Linked DNA regions of Oryctolagus cuniculus. The protein of the gene in region 2 purifies or fractionates together with the protein of the main gene of each other region. This does not show direct contact. Links are inferred from orthologs where the notes say so. Each region holds a gene or a part of one and is shown on either strand. Other genes may lie near its edges.

Region 1 (4,142 bases), on a different chromosome or scaffold from region 2:
CTGTTACAGATGGTGACCAGGGAAGACCCCTTAGAGCAGGCAGCATCTCAGCGGAGACTTGAGCAAACTGAAAGCAGCCAGAATGATCCGTGTAAAGGCCCTGAGGCCAGAACATCCTTGGCACATGGAGGAACAGTGAGGAGGCCACCTGGCTAGAGCAGAGTGAGCGAGCAATGGGCCCTGTTTACTACGGTTATATGAGTCTTCTTTATTTATTTGAAAGTCAGAGTTACACACAGAGAGAAGGAGAGGCAGAGAGAAAGAGAGAGAGAGAGGTCTTCCATCTGCTGGTCCACTCCCCAGATGACTGCAACGGCCAGAGCTGGGCCGACCCGAAGCCAGGAGCCAGGAGCCAGGAGCTTCTTCTGGGTCTCCCATGTGGGTGCAGGGGCCCAAGGACTTGGGCTATTGTCTACTGCTTTCCCAGGCCATAGCAGAGAGCTGGATCGGAAGTGGAGCAGCCAGGTCTGGAACCAGCGCCCATATCGGCTTTATCTGCTATGCCACAGCGTGGCCCCCAAGTTACATGAGTCTTAAGGCTTAGTTTTGAGCCTACTGGAATGCTAAAAGCTGAGTGTGAGTTCCCTTTAACAGTATCAGTTGAGCTGGTCCTTGGAGAAGGCCCCGGAGGGGACCAGGGTGAAAGCAGGGGCCCATTAGGAGACTGCTACAGGTCACCAGGAACAACCGGGGCCGCAGCGACCAGTGCGTGCCCCTCTAGGACTGGGGGCCGCGGAGGGGCGTGGGTTCAGGAGAGAATGTCTGTAAAGCGGAGGAGCGTGGGCGCCGGGCGCTCACCACGGTGCATGCGCTGCGCGTGGGGCCGGGCTCCGAGCTCCGGAGACCGGCGCGAGGCCGAGCCGAGGACGCCCTCCAGCTTCGTCCACTCAGGTTGTCCACGGCAAATGCAGCTGCACGGTCACTCCTCGTCCCTCTCATCCTTCCTCACCCCGACGCCCCCATACCGACCCTCTGGCAACCCCAATTGGGGAGCACTAGCGCCCCATTTTCCCGAGGACACGGCTAACGTCCAGTGGGGCCTGGCTTCGAAGGTCTCTCTCCCCTGCTGGCGGGAGGCGCAGGGGGCGGGGCGAGGCGTGGGCGGAGCAAAGTCCTCCCGACGCGGCGTCCCGCAGCCAGGCCCCGCCCAGGCCCTGCCCCGCTCAAGGAGAAGGGGCGGGCAGCGCCGTGTGCTCAGAGCCAGACGGGGCTTCGTGATTGGACAAGGCGGAAAGCTTGGGTGGGGCTCTCCCCCGGCAGAGCGACCGCCTGTGGGTGTGGACACGCGGAGGGCGTGGTCTCCCACTCCGCCCCCTTCCACAGGCTCAAAGCGGGCGGTGTCCGCGGGGGCGGGGCCAGAACGCGGTCTGCCGATCCGATTCCAGCGCGGCTCCTAGGAGCCCGCCGCGGAGCAGCGCCCCGGCGGGGCAGAGCAGGTACCGGCGGACGCGCGGGGCTCTTGGTCCGAACCAGGCGGGGGCCGGGGGCCTTCTGAAGACTACGGAGCGCACTGGGGGTCTTGGCCGGCGCTGGGCCTGCTCCTGCGGGTTCGGCCCCTGCCTCCGCCCCCGCCCCCGCCTTCCTGCGGCGAAGCCCGCTTGTGGCGGGGCCGGTTGGCGCCTGCGCCGCTGCATGGTGCCTGGGCTGGGGGCTGGAGGGAAACTGAGTCACGGCAGGGCGGGCACAGTCCTGTGCGGGAGGCACCAGCGTAGCTCCCCTTCCTGGCCACGTTTTGGGGTCCCCACTGCTCTCCGCTGGAGACTCGTCCCACTCCTGCCCCCAACCGCTCAGAGCGCCCAAGGGGTCCCGCCCCGGCTCCCAAAAGCCTCGACCTGCCCTGGAATGGCCAGGACGCGCTCCAGGCGCCTCGCGCCCGTACCCCTCCCCCTCGCGCGGAGCCCCCGTGGCTCCCTCCACTGCTCTCCGCGCAGTATCAGCTTACACGCCTTATATAGTCCGAGCAGGCTGCAGCCGCGGCCTGCCTGCCGGGACCTGGGGGCGGGGGAGCCGAGAGCCGGCCCCTGACTCACCCCGCTGCCCGAGGCTCCAGGCTGGCTTGGGGGGAAGCCGTGCCAAATTAGTCCCACCCGTGGATACCGAGAACTTTAAGCCTGGGAAAGGTTCACCCTCCCAGGCCCTGGGCGGGGGGCTGCCCTTGTCTGTTTTTTTTTTTTTTTTTGGAAGTGAGGTCTGCCAGCCAGCCTCACAGCCTAGCCTGGCCAGATACGTGCCCACCCGGGCCTGGGGTGCGCTCAGTGTCTGTCTTGCCTGCTTGGCACCTGTTCAAGGCTAGCGTCCGCAGCTGGGACGCTCACTTTCCCATTTCTCCTCTCAGGAGCCGACACCATGGACTCCTTCAAAGTACTGCTAGAGGGTCCAGCACCGTGGGGCTTCCGGCTGCAAGGGGGCAAGGACTTCAATGTGCCCCTCTCCATCTCCCGGGTAAGCCTGGTTGGGAGAGGGGCTCCGAATAGCGGCGGTGGGGTGGGAAGGTTGTCTTTGATTGCTCAGGTCTCCAGGGGGAATCTAAGCAGGAGGCCCAGGTGTCAGCAGGCCAGGAGGTGTCTGTCCAGGTCCAGAAAAGTGGTGGCTGCCTACTCCCAGGACCCCTGCCTAGGTAGACAGGGGAGTGGAGCCCCCAGACTCCCATATCTGTGCACTGTACCTGATGCCACTTCACCGAGCCTCTGCGGTCACCTCTGGGGGCCGAGCAGAAGGGAGAAGGCCCATTGGTGTGGGAGGGAGCTTGATGAATTCAGCAAGGATCTAAACTTGAGAACAGTGCTCGGGAGCCTGGCCCCAGGCAGAGCACCCTGTGGAATCTTACCACCGCCTCACTGCCACCTAGGGGATAGCAGCTGCCATCCTGTTTGTCCAAAGGAGGGAACTTGGAATGGTGGAGGGCTTGTCCACGGCAAAGCAGAGATTTGAAACTGGGCAAGGACAGCCTGCGGGTTTTACAGGTCCCCAAGTCAATGAGAGGACCTGTGTCTCCATCCAACTGGTCCTGGTTTAGGATGTAGTGGCCTTTGACCCTGAGCGAAGGTGTGGTGAGGCTAGGCTGTAGGGCTGGGACCCAAATTCCTGAGAGCCTGCCCTGGTGGGGCGGAGCTGGTGGCTGGCTCCTCCCCATGGCAGGGGGATTGCCTTATAAGCCCAAGAATGCAGCCCCAGGCTGGGATGGCCAACAGTGGCTGGAGTCTACCTAGCTGAAAAGGGCTGGCCTGTGCCTGGACCTCCGAGCCCCCTCCCCTGGTGGCCAGGCTGTGACTCCTGGGACCCAGAAAAGAAACCACCCGCCCAGAGCAGTGAGGCCAGCACTTGGGCCAGTCCCTCTCTCTCTCTCTCTCTCTGGCCTGGGGGTCAGGAGGGGGCGGGGACTTCCTGCCCCTACATCCGCCAGTGCAGGGAGGCCCACCCAGCCGCCTGGTGGGCAGACAGCTGTTGGCAGGAAGCCCAGGGCAAGCCCAGCCTGAGGGGCCTGAGTGTTGTCCAGGCACCAGGCAGTCTGAGAGAGGCCCAGGGCAGAGTCTGTTCGTGGCGGTTTGGCCTGGTGGCCGGGGCAGGCAGTGTTCTGCCCCCCGGTATCTTTCTGCAGAGTTTTGGGGCAGGCAGGTCCCTAACACACACACACACACACACACACACACACACACTCCACCCTGAAACCTACCCTGCATCCCCCTCCCTGGGAAAATGCCACCCCATGTGGCTGGGAGACTTGGTCGGACTGGTCTCCGCCTCACCTCTTTGCTGATGAGAGTGATCTTTCAGATGTGGCCTGCGGGGGGCACTGTGGGCCCAGGCTCCCCTGTCTGCCGCCCCAGCCCAGGGGTGGGACCAGCAGCTAAGCCCAGCCTTGGAGTTGGACCCAGGCCCTGGTGGTGGGTGGATGGAAGTGGTCTTTTTCAGCGTTGGGCCAGCCCCCTCCTCTTCTCCTGACCCCAGAATGAAGGGAGGCGGGAGGGGCGAGGGCTGGCTGTGGGCCCAGGCCTGGGAGATGAGGTAACGTCTGAGACTGGTGGGGGGAGGGGTTGGGCTGCCCAGTGGAGCCCTTGGGCTGACTCACGCCCCCCTCTCCTGTGTCCAGCCCCCTGGCTTTTCTCCTCCTTGTCTCTCTGGCCTTGCCCTGCCCCTGGCCT
Region 2 (3,647 bases):
ACTTCGGAGAGGATTGATAACATTCCCAGCTAAATAAAAAGGGGTGATGAGAAAAAATCCTCTTGCAAAAAAAAAACAGACTAATAAGCTCACGAGGACTCACACATTTAAATCTAGACTCCTCCCCAAGCTGGTGCCTGAGATTGAGAAGCGGAGGCCATACTGAAGGGTGGGTGTTGCACCTTCTGGCTGAACGCCACCCAGGTACTCTTCCCTTCCCTGTGGTTCACTTCCTTCGGAGGTGAGCAGGTGGCATTGTGGTGACGCTGACACACATTCGAGATTATAGTGCAGTCCCCTGCACTCACCGAGCAATCTGCCCACCCTCTGGGCTCTGCTAGCACCTTGGCTCCATCAGGACACCTGGGGAATGCACTCACAGATGATAGAATCTAGAGAAAATGTCCCTGAAGGCTTGAAGAGAAATGATAAGATGACCCCTTCACTTGGGACAGTCACATGACTGCCATGGTCTGCTTCAGTTTGAATCAAAATCTTACACTCTGTAAAAACTAACATGCTTCTGTTCTTCCCTTAAACCAACTTATTTTAAGGAAATGCTCCTAATGAGCCTGAAATGAGTGCAGAGGGCTTGGTTCTCGGCTCAGTTTCTGCAGCAGTGCATGGCACATCCAGTGCCCCAGCTCATCCTGTTGAGTCCAGGTGTGGGTGGGGATGGAGTACCACAAGCCACTGCCAGACGAGAACGTGAAAACTCCTCCCTCAGTGGCCTGCTCAGCCCCCACATCCAGGTCACCCCCCATGGCCATGTCCAGGGTTATCCTCCTATAGTTCTTATGAGCCACTGAGTCTATTTCTTTGCATCTACTGGGTGAAGCAGGCAGGGTAATCCTGAATGGAACAGCTCAGATGACCCCAACCTGGCTCCAGTGTCTTTCTGGGGAAAACAGCCTTGGCTGCCTCAGGGTCCAGAGAGTACCTATGGGAGAGCATCCTGAGTTCCAGCTGCTGGGGTTGGAAACACAGGGAGACTTTGCTCTGCAGGGCGAGTCTGCAGCACACAGGAGATTTTACGCATTGGGTAACATTCCGTCTCCCGTCTGCAAAAGTCCACCATTGGGACTGGATTGATTGATTCATTTAACTGTTTCTCTTTTCTTTGTCCTGTCTTCTTTCAGCCCTTTTCTTATAAAATATAGTTCACATGATGTGTGTGTGTGTGTGTGTGTGTGTGTTCTCTCTCTAACCACACACACACACACACACACACACAACCATGGCAGGGTATTTCTGTAGAGACCTTCCAACTTTATTTATTTCCTAATGAGTGAATTAATTAGAAATAAAACCTCAGCAGTCCTGTAGGAACTGGCTTCCTCGGGCACCGTGGGAATAATGGGAAGGCTGGGTTTGAATTTTCCCACCTAATGGTGATTGCATTCCTTGGCTGGGGAGTTACAGATTTGGGGAGATTAAAATGCATTCCAACCTTCCGCTGGTATTCTAAACAATGAGGACATGCCTTTTCTTGCCGCAAGAATCTAGAAAAGCAGAAGAGAGCAGGCCTGGAAGTGCAGAAGAGGCCGCTGATGTTGGCCGCCTTGAATGGACTCTCGGTCGCTCGCGTCTCAGGTCGGGAAGAGAGCCGAGCTGATGGCACGCGCGTTCCCATGGACGAGCGGGTAAGTGTTGGGCCCCGCAGACATATGACTCATTGTCTGTGGGCTTAGAATCCCAAGGCCCCCTCCTTGCCTAAGCATGCCGGCCCTTAGGTTTGTCTGATAAATTTATTTTTGAATTTGAGTCCAGGGAGCTCTGGTCTGTGTCATTTTACATTGATCCTGTCTGAAATCTAATGTTTCTTTGTTCAAATCTTCCCACTTTCTCAAGCTGCCTAAAAAGACCAGCCCCATCACAGACTGTCTGGTATTGATTACGTCACTCAGTTTCTTTGGACCTGTTAATATTTTTGTAAAATGAGAAAGTTAAACAATTGCTGTGGCTCTCCATTTTTCTGATTTCTGTAAATGGTTACCACTTCCATTTCTTCAAAAGTGATTTTTTAGGGGGGCTGGTGCTGTGGTGCAGCAGGTTAGGCTGCCACCTACACTGCTGGCATCCTGTATGGGTGCCAGTTCAAGTCCCAGCTGCTCCCATTCTGATCCAGCTACCTGCTAATGTGCCTAGGCCAAGTGCTTGGACCCCTGCAGCCACATGGGAAACCAGGAAGAAGCTCCTGGCTTCTGGCTTCAGCTTGGCACAGCCCCAGCCTTTGCAGCCATTTGAGGAGTGAATCAGAGGATGGAAGATCTCTCCTTCTCTCCTCTCCATCTTCTCTCCATCTCTCCTTCTCTCTCTCTCTCTCTAACTCTGCCTTTCAAATAAAAAATAAAGTGATCATTTTATCTAAAACATTTATAGGATTCGTTTAATATGCCATCCTCCCATTTATATGGCTATAGAATGTGGCTGATTTATGATTGTTAGAATATATTGTGAGCACTTTGGTTTTGGAAAGCAAAAAGAGGGTGCATGGTAGAGTTTTTAGGGGTGAAGGGAGATGCTCCTTCAGTTCCTGTGATTGCTGTCAGAAGGCTAAGAGACAAGTGGTAGTAATTATTTCAGAAGATCACTTGTAACATCAGGACGTTAGAGTTCCACCAGTGTGCATCCAGTAGTAGAATGAAGGGACTTCAGTTAATACCACATTCTTGTATCTAGTAGTTTAGCCAGGGAGGGAAATAAAAAGAGGAGGGGATGTAATCCCCAGAGCTGTAGACTCTGGACCAGTACCGACATAACATTCAGCTCAGTGACAACACGCGACTGAGCGTGTAAGTAGAGAAAACGGTGTTTGGGTAATTAACAGTCTCCTTATCGTCAGGTCTTTACACAGAGGCATCAGCAGCAAAAATGCTGGCTTTGAATTTCCAGTCCTGCTGGTTGTCGATTTATTCTATTTTCCCTGTAAGTGAGACAGGAAATGACTGTCAGGCAACAGAAACCAGCAACATGGTTGATAATGAGACTGGGGATTTAGTCACATATTACCCTTCTTGAAGTCGCGTATCATCATTGTCACTGTAGACACGTGAAGAGAGCGGGTGGTTTGGAGTTTGGGATAATTTAGAGAGCCGAAGATTGATTTCTGTTGCAGTTCAGAACCCTGAAGAAGAAGCTGGAAGAGGGCATGGTGTTCACAGAATACGAGCAGATTCCAAAGAAGAAAGCGAACGGCGTGTTCAGCACGGCCACCCTGCCGGAGAACGCCGAGCGCAGCCGCATCCGCGAAGTCGTACCCTACGAGGAGAACCGCGTAGAGCTGATACCCACCAAAGAAAACAACACCGGTTACATTAATGCCTCCCATATCAAGGTAGGAAGCTTGTTCAGGGCCACGGGGTTAAAGGTAAGTGCAGGGAGAGACCTTGCAGGGGCGGGGCTGTGCCTCTTGGCTCTTCCAGGCCTGTCTGTAGTTGAGTGAGTGTGAGCTCCTCTGCCTTCCTTGGGCCTGGGAAGGGCCTGGTGATCTTGAAGAGAAGGAAGGCTAGCAGCCTCAGGGGAACCTCAGCGGGGCTGCTTCTGTGCTGTTCCAGGGGTTAGCCCTTCCTTGCTCACTGTGGGCTATAACTCGCAGAGCAACTGTGGCCTGCCCTCTTCATTTGTAAAAGTTACAGGTGTTGTTT

The links. The genes of interacting proteins can lie anywhere in the genome.
Region 1: the proteins of PTPN14 (region 2) and PDLIM7 purify together in Homo sapiens (affinity purification with mass spectrometry; 3 studies listed by BioGRID and IntAct, counting the BioPlex papers as one, with this or other methods). This does not show direct contact. The link is inferred for Oryctolagus cuniculus from reciprocal best matches to the Homo sapiens genes PTPN14 and PDLIM7.

The regions. Positions count from the first base shown.
Region 1 is NC_091437.1:63,489,721-63,493,862, reverse strand, and holds the start of PDLIM7 (PDZ and LIM domain protein 7), read left to right. Parts: upstream 1-1,282; 5' UTR 1,283-1,436; intron 1,437-1,978; exon of another isoform or gene 1,979-2,246; intron 2,247-2,335; 5' UTR 2,336-2,346; coding exon 2,347-2,442; intron 2,443-4,142. UniProt on the Homo sapiens protein: May function as a scaffold on which the coordinated assembly of proteins can occur. May play a role as an adapter that, via its PDZ domain, localizes LIM-binding proteins to actin filaments of both skeletal muscle and nonmuscle tissues.
Region 2 is NC_091444.1:28,665,150-28,668,796, reverse strand, and holds part of PTPN14 (tyrosine-protein phosphatase non-receptor type 14), read left to right. Parts: intron 1-1,499; coding exon 1,500-1,643; intron 1,644-3,118; coding exon 3,119-3,337; intron 3,338-3,647. UniProt on the Homo sapiens protein: Protein tyrosine phosphatase which may play a role in the regulation of lymphangiogenesis, cell-cell adhesion, cell-matrix adhesion, cell migration, cell growth and also regulates TGF-beta gene expression, thereby modulating epithelial-mesenchymal transition.